Linked DNA regions of Struthio camelus. The protein of the gene in region 2 binds, or shares a complex with, the protein of the main gene of each other region. Links are inferred from orthologs where the notes say so. Each region holds a gene or a part of one and is shown on either strand. Other genes may lie near its edges.

What was found.
Region 1: APOO (region 2) and CHCHD6 share a complex: the UniProt entries of both Homo sapiens proteins name them as parts of the mitochondrial contact site and cristae organizing system (MICOS) complex. The link is inferred for Struthio camelus from reciprocal best matches to the Homo sapiens genes APOO and CHCHD6.
Region 3: APOO (region 2) and MICOS13 share a complex: the UniProt entries of both Homo sapiens proteins name them as parts of the mitochondrial contact site and cristae organizing system (MICOS) complex. The link is inferred for Struthio camelus from reciprocal best matches to the Homo sapiens genes APOO and MICOS13.
Region 4: APOO (region 2) and CHCHD3 share a complex: the UniProt entries of both Homo sapiens proteins name them as parts of the mitochondrial contact site and cristae organizing system (MICOS) complex. The link is inferred for Struthio camelus from reciprocal best matches to the Homo sapiens genes APOO and CHCHD3.

What each region holds. Positions count from the first base shown.
Region 1 is NC_090955.1:7,729,314-7,737,272, forward strand, and holds the start of CHCHD6 (MICOS complex subunit MIC25), read left to right. Parts: upstream 1-4,943; 5' UTR 4,944-4,967; coding exon 4,968-5,165; intron 5,166-7,959. UniProt on the Homo sapiens protein: Component of the MICOS complex, a large protein complex of the mitochondrial inner membrane that plays crucial roles in the maintenance of crista junctions, inner membrane architecture, and formation of contact sites to the outer membrane.
Region 2 is NC_090942.1:135,303,240-135,310,635, forward strand, and holds the start of APOO (MICOS complex subunit MIC26), read left to right. Parts: upstream 1-4,388; 5' UTR 4,389-4,403; coding exon 4,404-4,412; intron 4,413-4,702; exon of another isoform or gene 4,703-4,873; intron 4,874-5,670; coding exon 5,671-5,722; intron 5,723-6,162; exon of another isoform or gene 6,163-6,263; intron 6,264-7,396. Other genes in the region: C1HXorf58 (uncharacterized protein CXorf58 homolog), read right to left, coding at 196-327, 1,467-1,578, 3,640-3,734, 4,000-4,110. UniProt on the Homo sapiens protein: Component of the MICOS complex, a large protein complex of the mitochondrial inner membrane that plays crucial roles in the maintenance of crista junctions, inner membrane architecture, and formation of contact sites to the outer membrane.
Region 3 is NC_090967.1:7,958,736-7,966,374, forward strand, and holds the start of MICOS13 (MICOS complex subunit MIC13), read left to right. Parts: upstream 1-4,628; 5' UTR 4,629-4,727; coding exon 4,728-4,756; intron 4,757-5,951; coding exon 5,952-6,108; intron 6,109-6,859; coding exon 6,860-6,911; intron 6,912-7,639. UniProt on the Homo sapiens protein: Component of the MICOS complex, a large protein complex of the mitochondrial inner membrane that plays crucial roles in the maintenance of crista junctions, inner membrane architecture, and formation of contact sites to the outer membrane.
Region 4 is NC_090942.1:3,045,538-3,053,044, forward strand, and holds the start of CHCHD3 (MICOS complex subunit MIC19), read left to right. Parts: upstream 1-4,496; 5' UTR 4,497-4,619; coding exon 4,620-4,703; intron 4,704-6,694; coding exon 6,695-6,782; intron 6,783-7,507. UniProt on the Homo sapiens protein: Component of the MICOS complex, a large protein complex of the mitochondrial inner membrane that plays crucial roles in the maintenance of crista junctions, inner membrane architecture, and formation of contact sites to the outer membrane.

The DNA.
Region 1 (7,959 bases), on a different chromosome or scaffold from region 2:
CTCCAGTTTCAGCTAATACTGATGAAAATCATGAATGGCAGTTTCTGGGGGATAAAAGGAGCATTAAGAGTGTGTGGGAAGAAGAGGGGTGTGAAGAGAACTGTTCAGTGTGCCCTGGGACTGTTTTGGGGTGCACTAGTTAATAGGTAGCAGCATGGACATGACCTGACAGGACAGGGAGACAGAAGGACAGGCAGCCATGCTGACTAGCTGAGCTGAAGCAGCTGTGAAACAGGCTCTGCAGACTGTGCTGCTGTGCAGCTGAACTCGCAGTGAAATCTAAGTAATGACACTGAGTCAAGGCTGAGTTCTAAGAGTAAAACATGTGAGGTGGATGTGTTTCACATGTGCACCCTGCTTCTTGGGTCTGGCAAGGTCTTGGAGGGGACTGTAAAGGAGGGAGCTGACTCTGCAGATGAAGGCTCCAGAGAAATTCAGATGCCTGAGGCAGAGCAGAGCAGGGGAGCTCTCAAACACCATCGGAGCAGTAGAATCAAGCTGACTGGTGTTCTAGGTTGGGAGGTAGGTGGGAGAGGGACACTCAGCTACTGCTTCTGTGGCAAGGTTCTTCTCTTATGTTGCAGTTTAGATGTCCAGATTTCTGTTGGTCTGAATAGGTTTTTTGGCTTGATACACTGAAAATACTTCTGTGCATGTGGAGTGTGGTTCATTTAAAGACTATCTGGAACTTCCTGTTCATCTCTTCCACTCTGGAAAAGGGACTGTTGTCTGAACTGCCTGGTACGCAGTTCCAAGACACCGTGGTGCAATCCAGGGACTGTTCCGCTGAAAGCTGCATCAGACTGGCTTCTGGGACATACTGAGCTCTCCAGGGATAAAGAGGTTTATTCTTCTAGCTTTGGAGGTTCCTTCCTACCTGGGTCCTCGAGGTAGGTGGAGATCTGCTATAACTAATGGCAGCTTTCCATTGGAGATGGCAGAATGAGGGAATATGAAACATTTGGGGACTGTGTGCATCTCTTCCCCAACTCTCCTGTTCCTGAAGAAGAATATTGAGGTAAGAGTTTTTTAGGAAATCCTCATGGAGGGAACAGTGCAGTGATAGTTTGGATCATGCAAAACACTGCTACTAGGTAGTAGCATTTGCTACCAGGTGTTTCCACTGTAAGGAAAGAAACAGTTTGGATAAGAGCACAAAGTGCATATTGGTTGCCAAAACTATGCAGGCCCTTTGCTTATCTTCTTAGTTAATGAGCAATGCAGCCTCTCTGTTCTGCTGCCTGTAGACTTTGCCCTGCAGGCTTCCAAGTAGCATTGACACCTTAAAAACAAAAAACCTCCCCTCAGTTTTAAATACATTTTTTTTTTTTTTAAATCTACTTTTAAGGAAAAAAGGCTTCCGTTTGTCCATATGTTTGAGCTGAGTTATACCATGTGGTTCAACAGCCTTTCACATTTCTCCTCCGTGCAATGACTGTGTAAAGGGTGGACAAGCAACTGGCCAGGTGAGCTTTTTGCCGCACAGAAAAATGTTCTATGCTCCTCCCATCATTTGCTGTGAATCGGCCTGAGCCACACTTACTTGCTTACTGTAAAAGGGATGGATGACATGGTCTCTGAATTGCCCTGCTGCTGCTCCTAATGCTGCTCAGCTACACCAGTAGTGAGCTGCTGTTAGCCACTACGGGGAAACCTGCAAAGCTTCCCTGGAGCTGGTGGGCCTTGGACAGGGCCAGGAGATGTGGAAGTCTTGAAGCAGTTCAAGAATAAAGGAGCAAATGCTTTCCCATCCCAAGGAGTATTTGCTGCCTCTTGAACACCTTGAATTTGAAAGGACTTGCCTGCCCTCCTTGGTGATGTGAAGAGCAGGTTATGAATTTGTCTTTTTATCGGCTAAATTCAGTGCTGAAGGATCGCCTTGGTAGGTGGTCAACATGTCCATCCTCTCCTTTGTTGGCAGGACTCCAGTGTTTCTGGAGCGTCCCACATTCTGCTGCTGAGGAGTTTCTGCACTAGGTCATGGACTGACCTTCCTCTTGTTGTATTTTTATGTATATAAATGCCTTGGGCCATATTCACAATGGTCCTTGAGCAGAAGTGTGTTATGTGTTTGTGGGGGGAGGGAGATGCAAAGAGACTAAATATAGAGTAAATGTATATTTTTTGTTTGTAAAATAAAGAAATAAAATTAAATTTGGCATAAATAGTCCTACTTTCTCTCTCAAGTGACGCATGTTAAGGGGGAAAATATTTTTGGAATTTTTTCTTTTAAAAAGCAAAAGATAAAACCCTGAACAAATATGGTGGATATTAATGGAATGACAGAGCTGGAGACTTTGGGTTCTTGGAAGTCTATTACTAGGACAGCAGCTGACAGTGCAGAGAGTGGTCTCCAGGTCTAAATAATTAGTGAAGCTCTGACTCTTCCTGTTAACTAGATCTTGCTGTTCCCTGGCATGTCCGGCATCAGGGATCTCCGCTATAGGCCAGTCTTTCTTGCTTGGAAAGGGGCTCGTGTGGAACTATGAGTTGACTGTTGTACGCTTTATTTTTCCTTTGGGCTTTGAAATGAACTCCACTTAAGTATTTGGACCAATTTTTCTGGCTGTACAGGGGACAGTAGCCTGATGTAACAGCTAAGAGCTGGCAGTAGCCAGCACCTGTCAGCCGCTCTTTGGTGGAGCATACAGGCTGGGGAAATGGAGTAAGCTTTGTCTCTAGCCTGAGAGTTAAGTCAGGTCTTTGTGCAGTAAAGCCTACTAGCCTTACCTTACCAAGCTCCTGCCAGACTACCTGCAAAAAACTGTAGGGGTTGCCCGAGGGACGCTAACCACAGGAGTTAACTTGACAGCATCATCTGCTCCTCTTCACATGGATAAGGGAAGGGTTTGAGTTACTGTACAGGTGCTCTGCCACCATCGCAATTGCTTCCACCTCAGTATTCTCAGGCTCTGGGAGATCACAGAAAGGCACAGCTGTAGGTCTGAATTGTGTTTTTGTTTCTTTGCACGCTCCCCCTCCTGCTATGTTTGCATCCTTGCAGATGTTGCCTGGCACCTGGCTGGAGTTGTACCTGGAATTACTCCTGGAAAAGGCCTAAGGAAGGGTGACAGAATAATTAAAGTTGCGGGTTGTAGGAGAAGCAATTACACGATTGAGAACTCATCAGCTTGGAAGAGCAAGAGTAAAGGTCTCTGAAATCCTGAGAGGACAGAGGAGGTGAACAGGCAATGACTGTTCAGGGGCTCTTTCAGTACAAGAACTGGGAGCCATCAAATGAAATTGGTGGGTGGCAGATTAAAAATAAATGAGAGGCTGTGAGAATATTCTGGGAGGAATTGCTATGCTCTTGCCTCACTCATGCTTTCTCCTAGATATCAGCTGTTGTCCCTTTCAAAAGCAGAGTTTTGGCTTAGCCAGACCTGCTCTCTGACCCTGCGCAGCATTTCTATGCTGCAGTGCAAATAGCTGATAGTACCGTTTTGTAGTGCTCTAGTCTTGAGAGGTCAAGCAATAAGCAAAGTCTGCAATGTGCTAGGTGTTAACCCAAGTAACAGAAAAATATTCTTCCCTTTCAGTAATATGCTGCAGGCCTGGATTTCTTGGGGAGGGAGTGGGGATCCTTCCTTAGACCTGGCCGGAGTCCCATTGCTGAGCCAAACCGGTGGTTTCCATGTTAATTATAGTGAAGGGTAAGCATTAAGCACAGTGAAAGCTGTTCTAACACACAACTAGTAAGTAGGAAAGCAGTGTGTCGATAGCAAGGCTTCAGTAAGTGTCTAGCTACAAATGCACAGAGTTGTATAGGGCATGATGTAGCCTGTACTGCTAGGAAAAGCTCCTCCAAAAGCTACTATCTCTTGCTCCGGCTGCTTGTGTTTTACATTATCTTCTTTCTCTTTCCCTTCATTTAGCCTGCAGCTTCTAAGCGCTTGGAGGCAGGGTCTGTATCCTGCTGAGGGTTTATATGACCTGGAGCACAGTGCGATGCTCTCATCTACATGGCACCTGGGAACGTGCCTGTCATAGCAAGGAACGTTACAACTGTTAAGTCTTTGCTGGCTTAAAGGAGATGATTAATTTTGCCTGCAAAGCAGCTGCCATAAAATTGACTGTAATTCTTATTGACTGTAGCCTATGTTTGTTTTTCATCATCAGAGAAACGTGAGCTGCGCTGGGGTGATGACGCATTCCCTCAACAATTATGGAGAAAAGGTGGATAGAGAGGGACACGGGGTGCGCCGGTGGGGTGGAGGGGGATGCCTGTGCTCGGCGCCGGAGGTGGGCTCTCATGGGGCACGGGGCCTAGACGGTGAGGGGGGAAATTGCCTGGACCCCCGTAAGGGCTTGTCGCCCTGGGGATCTTCCACAGCCGGCAGCATCTTGGTCGCGTGCAGTGGGTGCTCGTCTGTCTCGTCCAATTTCCTGAATCTAAAGGAATATCTTAAAGTATAAGCTCTATGCTTTCCACTTTTATTCATTTACTGTGTGCTAATTTGGGCTTCTTTGCTGTTTTCCTCTGCTAATTTTTGCCCAGTAAAGAAACCCGTTATATTGGCGTATCAAAGTGAAAGTGTAAGGGGTAGTATGATAAAAAAGTGGGCAAGATCGGCACCTCCACTCCCGAGGGGAAGCTGCAGGAGAGCCGAGGGGCAGAAATTGAACCTGAACGTGCTTTGGTGCAGATTGTTTACTGCTGAGGGTAGCTTTTTCCAAACTGATGTGCTAGGATTGTTATTTTTAACTCCTCCTGAAGCAGTTTGAGTTTTTAGGGGAGGGAGGTTTGCCTGGCACAAGCGACGGAGGGCCAGGTTTGGGAACGCGGCTGTCTGCTGCATCTCCTGGGCTCGCCGCGGAAGGACGGCGCCGGCAGAGCCCCCCGGGGCCCCCAACCCGGGCGGCGGCCGCCGCACGAGACTACAACCCCCAGCCTGCACCGCGCTGGCCGCCAGCAACGCGCCGCGCTATTGGCCGCCCCCGGAGGCAGCCACCAATGAGGGGCGGGTATGTTGGCAGGCGGCGGAAAGGGGGGCGGGGAGCGGTGTTGCTCGCAGCGGCTGTCCCGGTGTGAGAGGGGGGGAGACTCCCCCCCCCCCCATCTCCTCCCCGTTGGCATGGGGGGCAGCGAGAGCAGCCACGGCAGCAGGAAGGTCTCCTTCGGGCTGGATGAGCGGGAGCAAGTCCGGGTGCTGCAAGGCATCAGGGTGAGACGGCCTGGGAGTACTGTGGAGCCTGGGGGGGCAGAGGGGTTGGGAGGGGAGAGGGGCGCTGGGGGGCAGAGGGACTGGGGGAGAGGGGTTGGGAGGGGACAGGGGGTCTGGGGGACAGAGGGGCCTCGGGGAGAGGGGCTAGGAGGGGAGAGGGATGTCAGAGGCCTAGGGGAAAGGGGCTGGGAGGGGAGAGAGGGTTTGGGGGGTAGAGGGGCCTCGGGGAGAGGGGCTGGGAGGGGAGAGGGGGTGGAGGAGGAGGAGGTCGAAGGGGAGAGGGGCCGGGGGGCAGAGGGGCCTGGGGGAGGGAGGCTGGGAGGGGAGAGAGGAGTCAGAGGCCTAGGGGAAAGGGGCGGGGGGGGGGAGAGGGGAGCCAAGAGGCTGGAGGAGAGGGGCTGGGAGGGGAGAGGGGTGTTGGAGGGCTGGGAGGCAGAGGGTATCAGAGGCCGGAGGGAGACAGACTGGGGGGAAGCAGGTGCAGGGGAGAGAGGTGCCAGAGGCCTGGGGGGAGGCTTGGTTGGGGGCTGCATGGGGCAGGGAGCTGGCCTGAGGGAGGTGCTGTTGGGGGCAGCACTGGTTGAACTGAGGCAGAGCAGGGCGGGGAGGTCTAGGGATGCAGTATGTGCTGCAGGAAGGAGTGAGTGGGGAAAACCAGCAAGGAAGAGGGAGGAGAAGTGGAAGGCAGCGCTGAAGGGAGTGGGTAGTGGCAGTGAAGAGGGCTGACTGCTGGAGTTTGGCCTTTCCTGAGAGATGAGATGCTAATCCTTTATCCTCTTCCAAATTTTGCTCTCGTCTCTTTCCCCTTCTCCTTACTGCTTAATGTGCCCTTCACTGCCACCTTCTGCTTTGCAAGCAATTTGATGCTAAAAGGTGGAAGCACTGGCTGGCTCTGAAAGCATCCAAGAGGAGAGCTGCCTGCCCTTGAATAATATTACCTAGACCCTTAATGAAGCACGCAGGGTGATAAGAGGTTGTGGGGATTGGTGAGGAGTAGGGGTGCTTCTAGAAGGGCCAGTGGGGAAGCTGCTTCTTGAACTTTGATTTGAACATCTACCTATGTGTGTCATGAAAACCAGCTCTAGAAAGAGGTGATGGTATTATTCTTTTTGGTGCCTTTTTTTCCCCTCTGTTTTTTTTTCTCCCTGTTTCTCTTTAGCTATTTCTACTTTATTTCTACCATGATTCTCAGTGTTGTTGCTTCTTTATACTTCTATCTACTTCTTATTCCCCTTCCTAAAATTCCTCTGAAATGAGTTTGCAGAGTGAGTTTTGCTGTGGTTACTTATTTTTCCCCCACAATCAGTCACTTGACAGACGTTAACTAGAATTGTGCTAAGTCTCCCTTTACAGGTGCTTTCAGGTAAAGTCGTTCTTGCCTCATTTCTCTTTGCAGTGTACAGGTGAGGCCCTTTCAGGGCTTAACTCCACCTGTCATATAAGCAGTAAAACAAATTGTTTTAATTTAGTTAGCTTCTCTGTCAGTTGCATAGTGATGGAACTAGAGAAAAATGTGGGTTTGCTGCTATAGGTTGTATATGACCTCTAGGAGCTCAAAATGAAGAGAGCACTATGTATCACATGATACCTGATTAGATTAAATGAGCTGTCGTCATCTTAGATCTCTGACTTCCTGAAGTAGAAATGTTTTATTCTTTTTTTTGGTTTTGTTTTGTGAAATAGAATAGTCATTCTTTGTTTTTAGAGTACCAAAGAGATTATTTGCTTTTTGTGGCTGTATATAAAAAGTAGTTCCACTGAATCTGCAGTTAACAAAGACTGGCTTCTTACAGCTTTTTGGTTTTAAAAGCCAGTTTCCATAGATGCTTTTTTCCCATATTCCTTTTGGACATCTCTCTCCGGGTGAGAGGGAGCATGTTCTCAGACTGACGCGTAGCGCTGTGTGTTAGCCTGTATGTGCGTGTTGGCTAACTGCAGAACGGCCACAGGCTAAGTCCTGTCTGTGGTTGCTTGTATGGGGTGTTAATATGGAACTCTTTCTTCAGCTCGCTGCTGATTTTCATAAAGTTTGTAAAGAACTGAATTATTTTTGAGATATCCACTACCTTTGAGGTTTAAGTTGAGCAGCAGTGTTATGTATTATTTGATAAGAATGATTTTTCCTTAAAAAGTTAGATTAAACTCTTAAACTCTTAAAATAAATAAGCACTGCCCCCAGGCTTCAAATATGACAGTTGGCACTTGGAGTTCATCCCCACCTGCCTGTCAGCCCCAGAGGAAGTAAGGGCGCTTCTCTAAAGCTGTGAATTTTGTCCTTGTCATTGATAAGACATCCTTACTGCCGCATGGTTTCTCTTGTAGTGGGTATTGTATGTCTGGGGCTATCTTTGTTCAGATCCTCTGACAGAGGTACTACGCATGTATATGTGTGTTTTGAATATAGCGAAAGTGTAAGGGGGGAGGGCAGAAGACCCAAGAAGTTGGCATGGTAAGTGAAGACGTTAGCAATGCTGTTAGATATGGCAGCATCGACATCCACTTTGTGCTCAGTGCTGTCAGACTGTGGCTGGCGTAGGTAAGGAAACTCGATCTCATTTCATTTTGTTTTACAGTTTTTTGGCAGCACAGAGACACTGACCGTGGTGCAAAAGAAGGGGTCAATCTTACAGTGCTGTGAAAAGCCCCTTGGACTGAACTTCTAGGAAAGTTTGAGTTAGCTTTACCTTCCTTTTCCTGGATTGGGACCCAAGTAAGGGAGCGGGAAATAAAGTTCAGGTCGCAAAACTGGTTGCGGCCTTATGCGAATAGGAGGGTTGTGCAGTTGTTCTCCATC
Region 2 (7,396 bases):
TTGCCACAGCCTTACTGCTTACTTTCCACAGATATAAATGACTGCAAAAAGTATAATATTATGGTGAAAAGACCCAGTATCATTCTTTACCTGTAAGTCACTTATCTACATTTTAGATAAAATCCTAACTTCCTTGCTAAAGAGGGAATCTTCACAACCAAAATCTGTAATAAAATATCTGAAAACATTTCCTACGTGCATGTAGTCTTTCATTGTAGCAACATCTGTTTCATCTGTTATCCTTTGCTTTTGGTACTGAAGCTCGTCTTGTACTAATTGTTCATAATATTTCCGATGTCCCATTAACTTGCAAGCATCAGCTGCTGCCTGTAAAATACAGCAGAAAAATATAATAAAACTTTAAAAAGAAAAGATAGGCACAAGCCTGCAGTTTTCTTACTTCACCTCAAATTATTCCTGACAATCCTCCTATCTATCAACAAATAAAAAGGACCCTTTGCTAATTTACAGACAACTCCTAGAGAAACTAGAGAAGCATTGTCCAATTCTACAATGTGATAGTGAAGCATTCCCACTGGTCTGGAAAATATTTCTTCATGCTAAACCTGTTTCCATCAGGTCTATCAAGAGACGCTAAAAAAGAATCGTAAGAATTTTTTTAAAGATGGCACAGCAAAACGTAGTTGTTACAAATAACATTTAAGAGTGTGTGTGCCTCCTCAGTCTCTCCATGATACCTTAATAGATGAAGTATCTGTTCAAAGTTCTGATTAATGTCTTCTTTGAGAAGCTTTAATTTTATACAAAAATCTTTTTGATAAAAATTTCCAGCTTTAAGAGGATGCATATTCCAGAAGGAGTATTAACTATTTCAAATTACTATAATTTTTGGACCTGGACATTACTTTCTTGATGTACTTAATTATGTGGCTAAATTAGAAGCCGTGGCTCCTCTTGGAGACATAGGAGAAAGGACTACATGAGTGCATTGCAAAACAGAAACCTTATTCAAGTGCTCTTAACACCCTCTGGTGGAGTCAATGTTCAGTCAATACCTGGGCAGCAAAGGTTCCTAAACTATCAGGCGGCTACATTAGGTGGCAAAAGTTAGGAAGATTCCCCTTCAAGAGATACCCCTTCAAGATAACCCCTTCAAGCCTAGTTATGACAGAACTGCCTCACAACAGAACTGCAAGGGCAACTGTATGACACAACCTATGGAATGTACTATTCCATACATAATCTACACCAAAAACATAGACAAATGCTTTCACATATTTTTGTGTAAAGCTTTGTGTACGCTTTAAGCTTAAAGATAATTTTTCTTTGCTAACTGCAAATTAACAGCGTTCAGTAAAAGCAAGTTACTTGTTGGCATCTGAAATGTGTTATGCGACCAAGACTGAGTAAGAGAATAAACACCTTACACAACGTCAAAAATAACAAGCACCAAGATACCGCTAACTGATCAGAAAAAGACCACACATGAACACGAAGTAAGTCACCTCATTTGATGGACTTATTATTCTTTTTCCACTAATGTACTTGCTGCCTTGGCCTTGAGTGTGGCGAAAAATCTTAAACACGATGAAAGGTGGAAACTCCTGACCAGCAAATCTGAAGAAACAAAGAACACAATTAACTGTAATATGAGAACAGACTTCTGACGACTTAAATCAGAAAAGACTATTGCCTTGTTTTATCTTATCGGAAGGCAATTTAGTACTCATTATTTCTGATACAAGCTGCAAAGAACTTGCTCCAGTCTAACTTGCTCCAAGTGAACTGGAGATCCCACATCCTGGGTTGCAGAAAGCAAGGAGCGCTAAAATATGCAGAAAGGTGTAGTTTTATTTTTTAATTTAATATTTTGAAAATGGAAAGGTAGGGAAATCCATCTTTTTTATCTCTGTACTCTAGCCCCATCTCAATTCTAATGGCATTAAAACATTTCTGAATGTCCTATTGTCTTTTATAAAGGCTGCAAGATAACACATTGAACCCTGTTTGCTTCATGAAAAGCGCTCTAAACATAAGCCCAGAAGCCAGAAACAGTTCTTGTGGGAGGTAGTTTAAGTATGAGTAGTTGAAAATACTTTGTAAATAACTCCCAAATTAATGAGGAGTCAGTACTTAACAAAAAAAAAAAAAACACAATTAGTTGAGCTGGGTTGAAGAATGCAGTAAAACGAAGAGTAATATTTGGTGACTTGAACTAAAAATGGTTAAAAAATGGCTGCTAAACACACATTTTCATATCTCAGTGATCCTGGGAGTTCTTAAGATCTCAGAACTTTCCAAATAGCAAATGTTTTTGTCTAAAGTAATAGAGCTCTGTGTCTGAAAGTCCATTGAAATTCAAAGGAACGACAAGGTTCTCACTGATTTTCAAAGACGACTGGAAAAATAGCTTGAAAATCCTTCGTCTAAAGGAAGACAGAGAATTACTAAAACACGAAATCCTTACATACAAAGCATAGGATCAGTCTACTCATATGCGGTTAAATTGAAAGACTGGAATTTAAGTCTGCAGAAAGGAATGGTATGATCACAATGCTGGCATGTATTTTCAAAAATCATAACCCTAGAATACTTTTTTCATGTGAAGTATGGCTACCTTAATGTAATGTAATGATTTAAAGGATGGCGTTCAGGCAAAAAGATTTATTCTTGTGATTGTACATTGATGAAGAAATGCAAGATTCAGACACGGGGCACAACTGACTTTTACAGGTAAATGTTTCCATGAAAGTCCAGTGAGAGGCTGTGGGAATTGAAGCAAAGCAGCCGAGACCACCTTAATAAGGGGCCTGTAACTGACCACAATAGCCTGTAAAATTCCATTAGCTAAGAAAAGGTCATGAACTGTTATGAGCAGCCTGGCTGCTTTTGAAAGTGGTTTTCCTCTGCCTGAAGTCATAGATAGAATATTGTAATTCCTCTGGAAACATTTTCTTTTAGGTTGTTTTTCATTCGGGACTACATGGTTCTCATTTTCTTGCACGAGTCACGCCCAGAGTGCCAGATCAGAATGTTTAATGAATAATGTGTATGTAAGTCTGAGACTTCCTTTTTTTTTTTTTTTTAAATGAATGAATAAGTTCTAAAGAGATGTTTCTACATTGGACATCCCGAAAGTTGGAATATTTTCTATTACCAAAATTCTTCCAGTATATGGTAAGAAATAATTCAAAATCAGATCCAAGTCCAAAGTACATCCAATTTTAAAAATTCAAAATGTGCTTGATGTGTTCCCCTTTTACATGAATATCTATTTGTTACACTTTTAATATCACAACATATGGAAATCGTGAGCCCTGACTACATAATTATTTCTAAATTCCTAGAGCAAAAATTGCTAAAGCAACCTGGTAAAGACAAAAAGAAGCTAATTTCTCCATTCTTTGCTGTAGCAACTGTCAAATGGCCTCATAACGCCTTACCAAACTTTTTAAAAATATTCAAAACTGCTGGAAGCTTACATGGGAAATTTTAGTCCAAAAGATACAATCTGCAAAAATATCTGTTGTCATAAATAAAGATGTAAAATTAAGTATCGTTCCAACTGTAATTTTGCCTGACAGCGTGCTTAGCAAAAGCAGGCAGAGTACTCTTTTGTCAAGTTACGATCGCACCGTATGCTGGATTGGGGCGAACCCCGAATTGCGTCTACTTTACCTGAATCTGACCTTACACCTCATGCTAGGATCTTTTATCAGTTCAGCTTCTGTTGGGCTCACCCTTCTCATAATTTCATGCGTGATGCAATGTTCCTGAAACAGATCGAAATACAAACTTGAGCTCTTTTGGCTCTCGACGGCTTTAACGTCCCACACCTGCGCTTTACAGAGGAATCGTGAGCGGTCCTCGGAACTATTTCATTCGAAAACGTGGCCGGCCAGTACAAGATGCTTCTCCCCGCCCCCCGCCCACGGGCGCGGCAGCCCGCGTCCGCGCCGCCCGACGCCCGCGTTCCCCTCCCACGCGCAGCGCAGCGGCGGCGCCGGCAGCTCGCACCAACGGCCGGCGGGGGCCTACCGCGGCGCGCACCGCCCGCGTCAGCAGCCTGAAGAGCCGCATCTGCACGTAGCGCCGCCACCCGCGCTGGATGGTGCGCGCCGCCGCCGCCGCCGCCGCCGCCGCCGCCATGGCGGAGCCGGGCCCCGCCCCGCCGCGTTGCCGGGATACCGCGACGCGCAGCGCGCGCCGGGGCCGGGGCCGGGGCCGGGCGCGGGCGCGGGCACGGGCACGGGCACGGGCACGGGCGCGGGCACGGGCACGGGCACGGGCACGGCGCCGAGCCTGAGGCGGGCGCGGCCCCGCCTACTCGGCGGGTTGGCCTCTTGCTTCCCGCCCCGGCTTCCGTAGCGGCGCGCGACCTCGCCGACGTCACCAGCGCAGCGACGCGGCCGCCGCCACGGCCAGCCCGCGCTGCTACCGCCATGTTCAAGGTGAGGAGCACCTCCCCTGCCCCCCCCTCCCCCGCCGCGCGCCCGCGGCCGTTACCCGCCGCCGCTCCCCCTCCCGCAGCGCCCCCCCGCCCCCGCAGCGCCCCCGGCCCGGCTCCTCCGGCGGGCCCGCGCCGCTCCATCCCCGCACGGGGGGTCAGCGGCCGGGCTCGCGGAGGCGGCGGGGCCGCGAAGCCCCCGGCCCGGCGCCCTGGGGGCGGCGGCGGCGGCGCCTGGCGGGGTCTCGCGGGGGGCTCTGCGGCCAGGCGGCGGCGGCGCGGCCGGCAGGGGGCGCCCCCGGAGCACCCTCAGCGGCGGCGCGGCCGGGCCGGGGCGCCGCGCTGGGCTGTCCGCGGGCGGCGGCGGCGGCGGATTCTCTGTCAGCCCCTCGCTTTCTGCGTTAAAGGGACGTGGTGTTAGTCGGTCGCACAGACTCGGTGCTGAGCACTCTCACGTTGTTACCAGCTAAGTTTTTTTCGACTTAGAGCTAAACGTCTTCTTAAATCGGGATTATCCAGGGACAGCTATGCCCAGATTATTTTGCGGAGCGTTTTCCTTACCTCTGGCAAGCTACGAGTTTTATATTTGTTGCAGTCACCTAATCTCTCACAGGTGTTTTAGAGTGAGGTCAAATATTCTATCCATGTTGCAAAAAAAAAAAAAACAAAAAAACGGATGGGACCCCTTCTGTTATTTAAATTAGGCCTTTATTAGACACAGCAGCATGGAATTGTAAGAAATTGTAAGAAAGCAGCCTTTCTTACAGGCTTTGGATTCATGTACATAGCTGTGAAATTCGCTATCTTAGAAGTTTTTTAATTTTTATGTGGGTTGTCAGCAAAGTCTGTGAAAAGGAATAGATTTCCGGGATCTGGGGTCGAAGGTCTTTGCCTCTGAGGTTAAGAGCCCAGACTTGCAACAATAGCAAGTTATGTAAGGATCCTTATGTAAGCATTTGCTGCCAGAATTATTTAGAGTCCCATAAGTGACACTGAATTCTACGTTAAAGGGGTTATATGTGTGCTGGGGCCCTGGTTCCAATACCAAATTTTAGTAGGCACATCAAACCTGTTAGACACGGTTCATGTTTTTCAATGGAAGAGTGGTACATTTTTAAGAAGGAACTCTGTTTTATAAAGAACACTGAAAAGCATAGAAACAAAACATTTTTTTTCTGATTCCAGATCTTGTAACTTTGAGCTACGTTACAGTCCAGTAATTAGAAATTAAGCTCACAGCTTGCTTTCTTTTCTTTTTTTAGGTGCACTACTTGTCAGTTTGCATTAAGCTTGGTTACAGATCTGAAATCTATGGTAGGGTTTTTTTGTACTGCCATAATATTACTGCTCTTTTTATAACCATTGTCATTAGGGATACTCCAGTGCTTAAGGCTAGCCTGATTGCTGCTGCTAAGAATAGGGAAGGTGGCTTCTTGGTCTTGATGTTTGTGCTTCAGGTAAAAGTAGTGCCCAAGAGTGGGGTTTGTTTGTTTGTTAGCATTGGGAGATAGGAGGAAGAAGGCAAGAGAATATGCAGCTGCTTTTTATGTTAGGGCAAATATTATCCTTCACAAAAATATAATTAGGATTTCCTTCCTTTTACTCTTCCTCTACCCCAGTTTTGACAGACTGACGATCACAGTAGCAAGTGAACTAAGAAAACAGACATGAGAAAAAAACAACCAAAGTTCCACTTAATCGTTCACTCTGTTTTCCTATTTGTATTGGGAACTAATAACAGATTTTCCCCGTAGGTTTTTTTAATTAGGAGTTAAAAGCTTTTGAGAAAGACAGTGAAGCAAAAGAATGAAAGATATGATAGGCTTTTTCCCACCAGTTTTGGTATAGTTTGCAGGTGAGTGATCTAATGCCTATAGATAATGATAAACTCTTCAGTTAGAAAAAGGAATAAACTTTTTTTTTTTAATTAATGAAAGTACAGAGCATTGCCTAGAGAGATTGTATGTGATCCTTTTTGTTATCAATTGAATAGATATAAGACTGAAGCAAGTTGAAGGCACAGCTCCATCAAAATGTTTTACTAAAACAATTGGTTTAGTAATATTCCTAGTACGGTATTAAGAAATGAGATCCTAAAGTGAAGTATGGAAATGGAAAATAGAACAGTTAATCTTTCATACTACAGAATAAGTGTTTTATTGTGTGTATACAGCACTTCAGTACTGATTATATGTGTCCTATAGACTGCACGTGAACAGCGTGCTTAAGGAGAGATTCATCTTGCACTTTCAGTTGTTAATTTCATTTTGTTCTTTAAGATGTAAATACAGAACCCTTGGAAAATGTCTGCACTTCAGTATTATGATAGAATGAATGATTAAAGTTTTCTTTTTGAATAGTCCTGTGATCACTGACATCTCTTTGGGAAGTCAAGGGGATGCCATTCTTGTGTTATACTGTTTGTGTGCTTGAGATGCATGTGCATATTCACATAAAACACTCAAATATTTAAAGCATTTGGATTTACTACTTTTGTTGGTGACGTTTAACACCATTTACCTTATTAGCAAATTATGCAAACAGAAAGAAAAAACATACCTGTTTGACCCGGTAGACTCGACTTATTTTTCCTGATTGGAGGTGATCAATAATTAATTATACTTTTATTTTACAAAAGATGTTATTGCTGTTGATTTTTGTAGGTTTCTTTTATACGAAGGATGCTTGTAAGAACATTAAATTGAAGATGTAAAAACTGTATGCATACATATAACAAATGTTTGCCGTAGTCAGATATTGTCTCTGAGTGACTCCCTGAAGTTGAGAGGCTCATTTCAAAAGCCTTCCCCACTGCTAACACCTTTTGAGTGGAGTATATGTCACTGATGTAATAGTTGTTGTAGCAGAGCTATTAGTTTATTAGAGTTGTTTCAAACTTAGGCTCACAGGAAATACTTGAACTCAGCATGGCAGTTCAGATGACTGGGAGGCGTGGTTTAAAAAAATTTGGTGCTGCTTTGAGGAAAG
Region 3 (7,639 bases), on a different chromosome or scaffold from region 2:
TTTCTGAACGCCTGAACTTCTCCACCTCTGAGGAAGGGAACTTTGCAAGGGTCCCACAGCAGCAGTACAATTTCCCCTTTCATTGCACAGCTGCCAAGGCTCAGCTTGTACCTCTGCACCCAGCCCCAGCTCAGCTGCTACAGCTGGTTCACCTTTCACACAGGCTCAGCAACTTCTCTTTTCCCTCCTCCCCACCCCAGCACCATCCCAGAGAAAATGGGCTATTTATGAGGGGCCAGAGGTAGGAAGAAGGGGGGGGGGGGCTGCAAAATATTACAGGGAAAGAAATTCCTCATGGGTGGAATGTGTGCAAGATTAATGGGGCCCTTTATGCTTCCTTTGTATGGCTTTGGAAAGGGAAGGTTCCTTGCACTAAGGAGCAAAAACATTACAGTCCCTGCTGGAAATGCGGTCTCCACCCTTAGCTTCACTAAGCAGGGGATAGCAAGGGAAAACAGGTTCTGCACAGAAACCTTTTGTGACTGATTTATCCCTTTTCTTTCAAGTCCCTTTTCTTTAAGTCTTTTCTTTCAAGTCCCTGTTGACATGTATGCCACAGCCTGAATTAAAGGCCAAAAGGTCTTGTGCTGTCATTTACAGCAGACAAATTTAATAGACACTAAGCCCCTGCATCCTTGTCTGTACAGGTGAATACTCATTTTAGCCCCCCCACTCCTGGCTATGACTCTAGGTCTTGGGCTGATGGCTAGTGCACCTAAGCAATGGCTCCACATCTGTACATTTCTGTGGAAAGCTCCTTTTGAACTCCCCCAACCATGCTGTTCCTAGCAACATTTACCCCTAGACCGTGGACCTCTGTTACCAGAGCCTCCAGCAATGGCCATCTCAACAGAGCCATTGCCATCATCTCCTGTTTCCATGACAATCGTGAAGGCAGTTAAGAGGCCATGGTTGTCACTGAGGGGAACCATGGGAGATTGTACCCAAATTCCCATGCAGTTGTCCCATAATGTTGAGCTCTGCTTGTGTATGTATGTGTGGTGAAGATATCTATTTTGGGGGTGGGATTGTGTTGTATGCATTGAATATCTGTGCATGTGGGATGATATATACAGGTAGTATAGCCACCAGTCTTACATGTGGTGAATGCCTTTGGACATGCAGGAAGAGTGGTTGTTGTGCTGCAATAAAGACTGATGGAATCAGCATGCGCCTCTGCATTGCACATTTGCAACTGGCATGTGAGAACACAATCGTGTCTGGTGGGTATTACTGTACGTGCCTGGCTCTAGTGGAGCGTATGCTGCATCTGTGCACAGGCTTGTGTGTTTGCTGACCTGTGCTGCATGCTGGCCATGAGCAAAGAACTCAAAAATGAAAGCATCTCTTCCACTCTGATGAACTCCCTTGGATTGCAACACATATCTCATTCTGTCTGTGTTCTCCATGCTTTTCCCCTTCCAGTTTGATTCCCCTGCAAGCTCCTACGTAGCTGCTTTGTGTTAGCTGAGCCTGTATTCAGCTCCCAGTAGAACTGGCCCCTATCCCTGCTCAGGTTCAGGTGCTAGTAGCAACCACAGCAGTTTCCTCCGTGAGGAGACTCTCTCATACTTTCTTCAGTCCTCTGCTCAAAAAGTCCCTAGACACATAAAATCCCAACAGTTTCTCCAGCCAAGGAAAGAACAATTCTGTCCCATTTTGGTGAAGAGTTACAAAACACTTTAACTAAAGGGGCTCTCCAAGCAAATTTTAGCTATTGAAAACAACTATGATATAAAATCAACAAAAATATTATTCACCAGTCTTTGCTGCAGAGACCAAAACAAGGCAAGGTCCTTTTATTGTTGCATGCCCACACATGCACATACATGTTAATTCTCACATATTCACACACCTTCCTGTTCAGAGACAGCATCTGGAGGAAAATATGAGGTTTAAATCAAGTTTATCCTTCCTACAGAACACTTCATAACTGCTCCGTAAGCCACAGCAGCCTTCATGCTATTGTGCTGGGTGTTCCACTTATATCCCCAAAACATCCTCACCCAGGGGACCAGCCTTAGAAGGCAGGCTTGGAGCAAAGCCTGTGAAGACCCTGGTTCCCCTTCTCCCAGAACCATGCTGATGGGTTTGTGAAAGCAGCAGGTTGGGATACTGTTTAGCCCACTATTTGAACCTGTTTCCATAGAGCTGCACCCATCTACCTGCTGATGGTACTCTCAAGCGAGTCAGAGACAAGCTCATCCTGATAAGGAGACTGAATATGTGGGGTCTTGAAGCTGAGCGCCCCAGCCAAAACGCTGTAATCTCCTTCCTCTGATGCTACGAGCCAACCTGTGTGAGGTATATAAAGTCTTTCTGTCCTGCATATATGTGAGGTGCTGGGTAGAACCAGGAAGAGTCACGAGATTCTACCTGAGAAGTCTCTCCGCTAAGAGCCAAAGTCATCTTCGGCAAGAATGGAAGAGGGGGAAGGACATGGACTCTCAATCCTTTGACGAGAGGCTGCAAAGCAATTGCTTTTCCCTGTTGAAGAAAGGGGGCACCACAGTCCTGAAAATGGTTTGCATTCATCTAACAAAGGTGGAACCAAAGGCAGTGGAACTCCCTGTCCAGAGCAAGTAACCTTAACAGGATGAAAACAGTAAAGCTGCAGGGCTGGAGGCAATGAAGTCTGCTGGGAGCCAGAGATGGCAGAAAACAGGTCTGGAAGGATCCTCCGGAAATCATCTCATCCATCTCCCTGCCTTTCTCAGCTACTGTTTTCACAGCCATTCATTTGCTTCAGGGCATCTAGTCTGTCCTTCTGTCTGTCCCAAATGAACTGGACAGAGGTAATTGTTTTTAAAATGTCTGTCCCTAATGGAACACTCCACAAAAACTTGTTGAGTCAGCACAGATTCCTCATTTAAACCCCGATTTGAAAGTCTAATTTTACAGTAAATGCCTTCTGCAATTTGCACTGCTGCATTCTATTTCATATTCTTGCAGACATATTTGACATAAAAATACATCAAATCTGAAATGAACTAAACAATCATCTTTTTCCCCAACACCATAGATCATCTGCAGCTGTCCACAAAAATTTAATATGGAAATAAAATCACACTAACATTTACATGTTCTTTTCCATGCTTACGGATCCCAGCATGCAAGCCGCATGTAAAATGAAACATGAAGCAGGGAAAAAGGTGGAGGATTTAGTTCTGTAATTCTCTCTCTTTAGAATTTGTCCTGCAAAAGGAAAATTCAAAACTTAAGTCAGCATTGGAACTTACTAAATACTAACAACATTCACTTACCAAGGTGAGTATCATTAGCCAATATCATTTCTCTATATTTTCTGAGTTCTTTTTCTGTCTTTAAAAATTCTTTTGCAGCCAGAGCAGTTAGACACAGTGAACACAGGAGGAATTAAGTTTTCAGCAGTTCCAGAAGCTGCCCTTCTGCTAAACTCACTTCATCGACTTCCACAGCTCTGCAAACGTGTTTAAAACTAGCTTACTCTCTCCTCTGTTCTTGTGCGAAAGACTCTGGCAGACACAGGGAAAGAAGATAGGAAAAATGCAATCAGATAAACTATCTTGGTGAGGGAAAAAGAAAGTTAGTGCTCAGTATTCCTCTTTGTTCCCTCTCCCCTTAAACGTTGAGCAATGCAATGGTTAAAATTCACGCAGGGAAGCAGGAGAGTCGGAGCCTTTGGGCTTTGTAGCGAGAGCCTCATTTTGAGACATGGCTGCCTAACCGATATCCTCCCAACCCTAATGACATGTTTACTAACAGCTTGCTCCTGTGGTCGATGACACGGAACTCCGCACCCCAGGAAAGCGCCGCGAGGACAGGAAAAGGCAGTTTGTACACACACCACCCTGGCGAGCACAGAGCCGAGGCTCCGATCCCGCTGCTGACCAGCATGTGCTCCTTCAGGCACACGCGCATCCAGTAAAGTAAGTAAAGCAGCTGGTGCCTACTTTAAAACGCGACTGCTGGATGGGGACTAAGACCTAGGCCAGAGCCAAGGCCGCAGGACAAAGTCCCCTCACCCTGTGCGGCCTGACAAAATGACACATTTTGGGACGAAGGCCTTGGTGCAGACTGATAAAAATGCAGCACAGATTCAAGCGTTTCATCTGCTTAAATATGTGTATCAATAAGCAGTTAGTACACTTCTAGTCCAGGCTGATCTTCCCCACCAGCATTGCCTAGTTCCCAGCTGTTTGCGCAAGAGGGAATCAACCCGCAATTCACCCATTCAGAACTGCAGCGCTCCACACACAACCGTATCCGCGCTTTTCACAACGCTTCATCCTTACTCGATTCTGCACCCCCCAGACGCGCCGTGGAAATTCTGCAGCTGTTTCAGGTAAATGATTAAAGATGAAAGCAAGCAATGCAATCGGTCCTGCGCACCCCCTGTTTTGATTTAATTACCGCAGCCTCCCCCGAGCGCCGGGACCCGCCTTCACTCCGCGGCGCCGCCCCTGCCGCCATGACAGCTACCGAGGCGGAAGTGCCTTCCCTGCTGGTCTGAGGAGACAGGACGGGCGAAAGGAAGCCCAACCGAGTCCTCCTACGAGTCCTTCTCCTTTTCAACCGTTCTTCTTCTGCGCGGGAGGTGCGCCCCCCACTGCAGAGAGAGGCGGAGGGCGAACGCTTCTCGCCTCGGTAATGATGGCCGGGGCGGCCGGGGCCGCCTGGCCACGTGACCAGCTCCCGACGGCCTCCGCGGCGCGCAGCGGCCAGCGTGCGCTGCCCTTGGCGGAGCGATGGCCGCCAGGCTGCTTCCCGTCGTCAAGTGAGTCCCGCGCGCGGCTGCCGCCCGCCCCCGCCCGCCCTTTACCGCTTCTCGGTCCGGTCCGCGCCGGCCCGGCCCGGCCCGGCCGCCCGACTGCCGCGGGCCCGCCGCGGCCCTGCCCGCGCCGCGCAGCTCGTTGCCCTTGATCCTGCCCGCGCCGGCCTCGCCCTCGGCCCGGCCGCTGCCTGGCGCCTCCCCAGACGCCTGGCGGGAGCCTGGAGACCTTCCCGCTGCGGGCGTAGACGCATAAAGTAAACCCTGGGAAGGCCCCGGGGGTACTTGGTTGCCGAGGGAGCCCTTTCGGGCCTGGATGTGCCGCCCGCTGGAAGGGAGAAGTTGTGGAAGGGTGTGTTGGGAGCGAGCAATACATCTTAATCAAAGAAATCCCCCAAATGCTTGTGAATAGCCGGGTTTAACTATCGATTCGCTCCTTCCTCTCTTAGTGGCTGTAGCTATTAAGTGCTCTGCTGTCGTGGTACTGCTCTCTGGCAAGTTCTCTTTTTGCCAGGTGTGCAATTGCTGTTTTTTCAGAGGGGGAAATGCTCTCTGCCCTGTGAATTTTTGGAAAGATGTTGTCTCTCAGGTCTCTTATTTATAGTGAAAAAATAATTAAGGATCAAATATTTTCTTCCACTTTGCGAGTTGCCACTAGTGTTTTCACACCATGTGCTGCACTGGGAAGCTTTACAGGCACAAGCAATGCAGGAACAGGCATGGTCAGATGCTAACTGGACTGTAATGAGCTTAACAAAAGATTGGTGTCTGTCAAGGTAATCTGTGTAGTTATTAGCCAGGCAACAAGAACCATCATAAACATGGATTTCTTACCCACAGCTAAATCTGTTAGTCCCTTTTTTCAAGAGTTTATGTCATAATTCTCAGACTTTCCAAAGTGGCACATATTTAGAGAGTTTTGACAATTTCACCTTTTTTTCTTCACAAGTGTCACTGATGATATGTGAACTGGGGTACAGTTTCAAGGGGCTGACTGGGAATATTTGATCTAGGAAAAAGGGGAGGACAGCTAGCTATCTTTCTGCTGTTTTTTGACACTAATAAGACATCACAGTAAAACATTTGTGACCTTCTAACTGCTCTTTCAACCCTGTTCCTTTGCGTGTCACAACCTGCTGGGAAAGGTGCACTGATATATATAATGTGAACTGACCTGTTCACGTGCTTTTAATTCTTTCAGGTTTGTCATCAAAGGAAGCCTGGCTGGAGCAGCTGTATACGTGGCATATGATCAGGGGCTGCTGGGCAGTGGCACACAAGGTGCTGAAGCCCTCAAAAAAGCTCAAGAAGCACTTCCTCCAGCTATCCAAGAATGGACAAATTACATAGGCTGGGAGGTAAGGACTGTGCAGGTGAATGTAGTTAGCAAACCATACACATTCTCTGAATGAAAGCACTGGGAAGGTATTCTGGTTCCAATGACGTTGACGAAAGTTTTGCCGTTGAATCTGGATTTCACGCTGAGAATGTTTTGAGGAGGATTGAAATGGAAGAAGGATACAATTTTAAACCTAGAGGAGAGCAATTGGTCATAGATCTTATTTGAAAGAAGAGATAGAAAGCCTATGCAGGGATATTTCACTATGTAGTGGTATTCCTAAGCTTTTTATTGGAGTATCCTATGTGCTTTTCAAAAATTAATGAAAAGATTCTCTTCCTTAAAGAACTGTTTTTGTCAAGCTCCTAACAGTCAAGTTGGATGCAAATTACCTGAGTAGTCCATTGTCTTTGAGCAGTCCTTAGTTTTTTAAATCTCTCAGACTAGGAGAAGCCTTTGAAGGTTTGAAAATCATTTTCCATGTTGGAGATTATAATGTAACTGTAAGGAGACAGCTACTTAAGTAATTGAGTGGATGTGTTTTCAAGAGCACCCAAAGGATGAATACTGCCTTCTGCCCCTGCTTTATGCTGTGGGAAAGGTTACTTCGAGACTTTAAGCCACATGTCTGATCCCTTTTGAGACTTAGGACGACTGGGCACCTAAATGTCTTTGAGATCTGAGTTCAAGAGGCTTCTCCAAGGTGATGTGGATTGTGTTATAACTGAAACTCCCAAATGCTGATATTTTGTCTCTATTTCTTTTTATAGCTTCCACCCACTCCAAAATTTGACTTTTCTCCCTCTGACTCCTGGAATAAAGGTAAAATAATTTTTCAGCAAACTGTGAAATGGAGTAAGGGGCTAAAAGTGATCTTATCCTGAAGTCTTGTTTTGATGTTGTCCTCGTAAAGTGAATGGTGAAGAAGGGGTGATAGATACTATAATCTGGTGAAAGGAGCATTGGACTGGGACTAAGGAAGTGTATTCTGCTCCTATTCTACCATTAGCCCACTAGGTGACTTTAGGCAGTTCACTTCATTTCTTGATACCTCGATTTCCAACTATGAAGTGAGGAGGAGGAGATGTGCCCATAAACCTGTCTGCCTTTTCCAACTGGAGGAGCTAATGTTTCTTCTACCTACAAAACTTGCTTTACCTGTGTCCCAACACAGGTATGCCTACGCTATGCCACAACATGAGATTGAATGTTTCAGTAGTGTTTGGGAGTCTGTGGTCCCATGAGAACTAGATACAGTTTATGCACCAGTAGGGTAAGTTCATCATTGCAGATATTGATCAGGGAAACGAGAGCGTAAAAAGAAATGATCACTTATTTCTGAGAATGCTGAATCTTTATGTAAGGTTGAAGGGTGTATAAATTCTTAATACTACTAGTATGTCTGAATTCAACCTCTGATCTTTTCAAAAGGGATGAGTGTTCTTGTTACTGCTAGAATTTTAGAGAGGACAAAGCATGTTATAAATATCTTGTAAGGTAATTCAGAATTTTTATGGTGCAGCAAATAGTCCTCATGTAATTAAGGGGAA
Region 4 (7,507 bases), about 130 Mb from region 2:
CAGTCAGGCTGGCTACAAATTCTGCTGCTTACTTGCAACTGATTTGAACGACACTAGTCAGATAAAAGTATATCAATATAAATAATCACTTATTAATATGACATAATATTAATATATTAAGTTTTGAAGTCCATAGCCAAATCTGAGGGTCTTGAACCACATGATATGCATTAACTTAAGCTTTGCAACAGCTTTCGGTAGATAACGCTGCAAGGCATGGCATCCAGGCTGCCCTCCACGGAAAGCGCAGAGAGATCTCTCGCATGATAACAGGTAGTGCATAATAGCCAGTGAAGAAATAAATAACAAAAAAGCATCCCAGGCTCTCTAGAATTGGTGTCCAGAAGTGGTGGTTTTCTGCAGATAGCAGACATCTCCTGGAGCTGTCTCAGACACCAGCCAGAAATCCATCCTCACTGCTGCAATGAATACAATGAATTGAACTCACCCTTTCTGCTCAGAGAGAGAAGAATCATTCAATCTTTATTCACTGATCAGATTGTTAATCTTGATGACTCAGGAAACCAAACCATGCAGATGTGACTTCCTCTGTGATATCAACTGGTAACTGCTGCTGATAGGGAATAAAATTCTAGCATGCTCTGGTCTTGAACTAATGAGAATAAAACACTGAATGTGAAAAGCAAAACAACGGTTGAAGCACTGAGTCTCAGAGAAGTCATGAACTTTCAGCTTCCACAGGAGCTAAATTGGAATTGAAAGGGAACACGTTCTGCCCTTTATATAACCAGGCCTTTGAACATCTTTGCAAAGTCATGAGAAGAAACTGATGGGTTAGCTTAATTTGCCCTGCAGTCATTACAGATACTGAAAATTGTGCCAATAGCATCAGTGGAAGCAGGATTTGGCACACCAGCCATGTCGTGGAGATGCATTACGTACTCTTGAAACCTCACCTTATGGCAAAGGGCACTGTGAACTGTCCCATCCAACTATTAAAAGGAAAGAGTAATTTCCAAATGCGGAGCACTTGCAGATTTTGCTATTACGGTCATTGCTGCTAAGAGGGAACCTAGGTACTACAAAAGTCTCTCCATGCTGAACATTTCTAAGGAATAGATCACCATCAAGGGATAACCATGTAAAGTCATGAGGTACGACACGCTCACCATGGCAGTGACTGAGCAGGATGATCCTCTGCAGAAGAATAAAAGCTCATAAGAGGTGTGCAATGAGCCTTTATACGTCTCCTTGCCTATCAAGTGCTTGTTTTCATGGCATTTTTTAAGTCCTGAGACAAGAAATTTAGTAATAACTTGTTCCTGGGCTCATTAGGATTTATTTGTTTGTGAATGTCTGGCCATGCTGTCCTTCTCTACTCTTTGGCTTCACCTTATAACTAACAATTTGAGCAGTAAGTGGTACAAGAAATATTTCTGCTCCAAAGGAATATGTCCAGACAAGGACATATCTTTTTATCAAGAGGGGACAGCAACACTGCTTTTTTAACAAAGGGTCAAGAGTTTATAATCTGGCCATAAAAACACGGTGGGTATGTGGAAAGGCACAGAGCTCCACAGAAAGTGAATGTTTTTAACCTAATAAGATCCTGCTTCTGTTTTTCAGCTGCACAGTGAAATATTTGGAGTTTACTAGCTTGAGATGGATTTTCTGCTTATGCAATTCAGAAATGGGTTCAGATCAAACAAGAATCAGAGGCAGTGAATGGATTTGTATTGATTGTTACATCTTTATTTGACATCCTGCTTTTACATTATCTTTTCTCTTGGTAGGAGGGATGTTCTGTCTGGTAACCAAAGAGAACTGACACAGATGACCAATGTTCTGCTTCTTTGGCACTGACTTACTGGGTGACTTCGGGCATGTCCCTTCATCATATGTATCTTAGAATGGCTTTACCTTGACTGAAGAGTGGGATGCCGGTGTTTGAGGTAGCTCACTTATCAAAAGCAGCCTAGCTTGGCTGCACAGAACTCCTGTGGACTGATTAACACTGCTGAGTAGTAACATAAACTGTTCTGTGCTGAGCTCTGTTTTGATATGTTTTGATTACGGCTGCTGCCTGCACTAGTTAGTTTGAACCAGGTTGTGTTTTTCTATGCGACATAGCAGTCAAATCCGTGTACTGTATTGACACACACGCTCTTAAAATAAGCATATTATTTATGAGGACATTTAAACTGTTTGAAGGATAAATTTTATACACAGAATATAACTTCCTTTTGTATTTGCAAATTGCTTGTGAGAGTTGTAAAATAACCATGAGTTGATTTGCCAGCTGTTAATGAACAGTTTTAGTCTGCAAATTTGTTGTGGCTTTTTTTACATTCATTTGTAATACTTTTTTCATCCAGCATTGTCCTTGAAAGAGCCCCCAGATATGTTTGACAGTCCACAGAGAAAAGCTTCTGACAAATATATAACTCTGGCCTGCAGTAAATAGTCTTTCATTTCCACCTATTACAGGGGAGCTATAAATTCTGGGGTACCACAGTCCTGCTTTTTCCACAACTAGTGAACCTTATGGACATATCAAAATGACCCAAAGCAATTTTGAGATGTAATTCTGCCCGTTTGTTCTTCAAGAATGGCTTTTTTTCCTGAAATCTATGCATATGTTACAGCATTCTGTAATTCCAAGTCATACAGAATAATGATAAAAACCCATAGTAGAAAATAGCTCTTGTTAAAAACTTAATTCTCAAATATAAATCTTCTGTTCAGCAAGACAAGAATATTTTCTCAGAACTCTCCAAACAGAGGACAACATATATTAGAAGAGCTGATTCTGATTTGGAGAAGGGCATTTCCACAACAGTTAGACAGCTAACTGAATAAATAAAATCTAGCCCTCAAAACATTCCTGGCACAGAAAAAAAATCAGTAAGCCCTCAGCTTGTTGGTGCTCACACACTATCAAGACAGATATAGAAGCACAGTCCCTCTATTCCCTTAAAAGCATAGATACCAGGGTGCTGAATTCGTAACAGTGTCCCTTCAAACAAACTCATTTAACATCTATAAAAACAGGCATAAACATCACGTCCCATACCTCAAGAGAACAGCTTATATGCCCTTGATGTATTTTCAAGTAATTTTTATTTAGTAGTAAAGTGCCTATCAGCCAATGCTTCAGTAATATTTTGAGCCCCAAGGAAGGCAGATACTGCTGAAACGTCAGCTGATAGACTCCTTACATCCAAAGGAAAATTGCTTGAAAATACATCAAGGACATGTGAGCAGTTCTGTTGATGCAACCAACATCATGCTTACATCTATTCTGAGAAATACAATGAGTCAGTTCACACTGGCTGCAATTCTCCATTATGATCAGAAGTAAACACACTGGGACAAATTTCTTACAAGGCAGTGGAAGGGTTCGGTGCTACTTCAGTAAAAACAGGATATCCTTCCTTAAGCCAAGATGGGAAGGTCGTCTAAGAGCAAAAAAAAAAAAAAAAACCAAGAGAGAGATTCCTAAATATTGTGGTTCTTAATATTTGTATTTCACTCGTGTCAAGGAGCCGCAGCAGAAGACTGGGGTTTCATTGCACTTCATAACTTGGCTAATCACAAGATACACTGGATGGATAAAACAAGTGAAGAGGCCAGACGGTAGAGGAAACAAAACAACATAGATGCATATATACCACCTATGTAAAGATGCTCTTGCCTCATACTTAGGCAAGAGAAATTCAAAGATGTGTCTTGACGCCACTGGCAGCCAGCATACCATATTTTTCTCTAATATTATACTGTGCATTTTTTTTTTTTCTCGTTTCAGGTGCCTCCCCAGAACCTACCTCTGCAGTTCTGCAAACGCAGGTAGGCCTCACCCTACCCGCAGCGGGACTTCACCTGAGCAACAGCCGGATCCCAACGGCCTCCACACCGACGGCTGAAAAGCAAACGCGTTGCGTGTAATTAACGTTATGCCGTCAGCCTCTTGGAAAGAAAATTACATGTCCGCGGGGGTTATGTTCGCAGCAATTTTCGGCCATTATAACGTTGAAAATGGAGTAAGACCTTTCCGCTCGGGCCCAGGCCTCGAGCCTCCACCCCAGCGCCAGCTGCCCACCATGAGCGCTGCTGCCCTCAGGGAGGGACAAGGCGCGCACCTTCAAGCGCCAGCGGCAGGAGCAGACTCGGGGAAGGGCGGCAAGTCCCCTCAGAGCGGCGTCGCGCTCGAGGGAGCCCCACAACCGGCACCGCCGGGGGGAACGACATTTCCCCGAGCGCTGTAGCCCCTCCACCTCGTAAGCCACTCGAGGACTACGCTACCCAGCGGGCACTGCGAACGCGCGTCGCCTCCCGTCGCCACCGCCCGGCGCGAGGCACCCTGGGACTTGTAGGCCACGCCCCCCCCAGCCACCTTGGGGAAGTTCAAACCGAAAAAGTTTGCGGACCCAGGGTACCTTGCCGCTGCTCGGCGGGGGCGCGCGGTTTCCATGGCGACCTCCCCCTAGCCAACGGGGAGCGGGGTTCTATGCGCGAGGGGCGGGGCTGGGCGAGCGGCGGGCCAATGAGAGGCGGCGTTGTTGAGGGGGGCGAGCTGGCAGCGGGGACGGCGAGTCTCCTTGGTGCTGTCCCCGGCCGCGGCCTGGTGGTGGTGGTGGTGGTGGTGCCGCCGGGCGAAGATGGGCGGCGGCGGGAGCAGCACCCGGCGCGTCACCTTCGAGGCGGACGAGAACGAGAACATCACGGTGGTGAAGGGCGTGCGGGTGAGAGCGGGGACGCCCGGCGCCGCCCGGGCCCTCGGCGGCAGCCGCAGGGGCGCTCGGGGCCTGCTCGCCGGCGCTGCCCCGGCCCCTCTCCCGCCTCCTTCTGCCTCCGCGGGCCGCGACCATCCCCTGCGCTCCGTGCCCAGCACGTCCCCCTCTCTCTTCCCTCCCTGCTCCGCTTCCAGCCGCTTTCCCCGAGTGACCTCCACCTGCTTCCTGTCCTGCTCCTTCTCTTCGCTCTTCCTTTTTTGATTTTTTTTAATTTTTTGAACCCCCCCCTCCAGACCTGAGGACAGCCAGGGTGCTTAGGTGGAGCGACAGGTATATCTTGTCAAGCAGCTGTGATCAGGAAGCTCTGAGCAGGGACCCTTGCTCCCAACGAGGTTTCCAAAGACAAATGGCAGAGCAGTTGTAGGAGATACATGACTTGTTCTGCCTTTCTCTGACCTCCACCTCTCAGAGCTCCCTCCCCTTCAATATTCTGCTGTGACTCACGTGCAGTATAACTTGTCTCGTGTGCACCCACAGAAACGTTCCTGTTCTTTCCCTATCTATGGCATGTTGTTGCCTGTAAGACAGACTTTTTGTGACATGGCACTTTTTGAGCAGTCTTCCGTCATGAAAGTTTTTTAGTGAGACACACTGTGTAGTTCATATCTGGAATGATGAAGAATTGTCTTGTATTGCTGCTCTTAGGGAAGAATGTTGCAGCATGAACAAATATAGTAATTGCTGCCTGTCTCAGCATACTAATATTTTTTTGTTCTGGCTGTTTAATGATTTCAGACAAATAGCTCACGATAATGTAAGCGTTCATAGGAAAGTTCATCCTCTTTAAAACACCTGGAGCACAAGAACAGAATAAAGTATTTGTTATTTCATTACTTGCTCCAGGGGCTTAAGTACGAGGAAGTAGTATTGAAAGTGCTGTAAAATATCTTGGATCTTGAAAAATTGGGAATAAAAAGTGAATGGTGTCATAGATACTCAGAAGATTTAGCTTGTTAAATAATGTTAGGGAACAGGGCATGTAAGAGTGGGTCTGTTGGCGTGTGTAGAACTATGTGGTGTTCAGAGTTCTAGGACTGGGCACAGAAACCTTTAGCTGAAGGAATTTCACACTTTCAGTTGCATGTTAGATCGAAAATTTTAGCAAAATCTTTCTAAGAAGGGTTTCTGCCACTGAAGCACACTCTGCTCTAAGTTTAGTAATATTTTGATAAAAAAATTTACTAGTTAAAATAAACTTTCCTTGAGCAGTCAAAACAATATTTTTAGGAGTAAGTGGTGAGGAAACCAGTAGAAAGTTCTAAAATGGAAAACGAAACTTTCATGTTATTACTGCTTTAACTTATGTTAAATATTTCTGGGGGCTGGACTAAGCCTGAAACTGGGCCTTGCTTTTGTTCTCAGTTTGGTTCCATGTAAGTTATGACAATATTTTATGCGCACGTATGTCAGCATTAGAAGGAACTTAGTGGTTGCCTAGACTTGCTTTTACCACTTGTGTTATACAAGTATCTTGAGAACTTCTTAAGGACGAAGTTTTCCTTATGATAAATGCTGTGCAACTGTACACTCTGGTATTTGACTGTCATACCAACAACTGAGAAAGGCAAAAAGGCTGATGAATTACAAGCAGCATATCAAAGGGTATTGATTCCTTTACTGTCTGTGTTATCTTTTATTTTGTCGTATCAATGCATATCAATTCTCCCACCTTCAACCTTCTTTTTCTATGGGAGCCTAAACTACCTTGTTCTCCGTGATTGTTTGCAGTCACTTTGGTTGATCACCACACAAAGAAAGAGAAACATGGTTGAAACAGAACATTTACATTGTTGATAAAATCTTAAGCTGCTGTCATACCTTACTTTGTGGGTTTATGCCCTTTTAAAAAAAATTTTCATTTAATTTTTCATTAGGGGAGGGGTGATAGGAAGGAGGAGATGCTGTCTGACTGTTTTTGGGTGGGGGGTTATTTTTTTCAGCTGTCTGAAAATGTCGTTGATCGCATGAAGGAACCTTCTTCACCTAGTGGAAGACCGCAATCTCAGCACAGATCGGCATCTGGTGCAGGTATGCTCGTGTATTCTGTGTTTTCATTAGAGAAAGGAAATTGAATGTATGTTTCAGATCATTATAGTGAACTCATTACCATTTCATAGAGGTGATTGTTCCCCTTATTTTTTTTCGCTGATCATTTTTTGAAGAATGAAGTAGTTTGTGGGCTGTTAGAAGACTTACTGCTTTTATTTTCTTCTGATTGACAGTAAAATGTTAAAAACAACTGTTTGAGACTTGTTTTTCCCAAGGTATTACCAATGTTAGAGACTCTGCTTTTTCAAAAAACAAGACAACAAAAAAACCCCCTCCTCATTCAGAGTATGCTTTGGGTTCTGAGCTGAAAATTCTAACGTATTTGATCAACGCTAAATTTTAGTATAGTGAACGTTTAGCATTTGCTACAGTGTATTTCAATAAAAGAAGGATATATTATTCCCTATCATGAAATCGTTGAAATGAGTTTTATATATTCAAATGTGTATGTATAGAATACAGATATATTTTTTGTATGTTCATGTGTGTGTAAATATTTATACACCCCCCCCCCAAATTCAATAGTTCATTATTCTTCCTGAGAATCTTCCTTAAAAATACCATCAGTTTATACAGACTGATAGCTCAAAATGATAGTTCTGTCAACATTTTGTATTTCGTTGTTGAGGGCTGCTCAAATGCATCAAGTAGACTCTGCACCAGAGAGGCGGTACTCTCATTTAAAAGAGTTTGGTAAAGTGAAC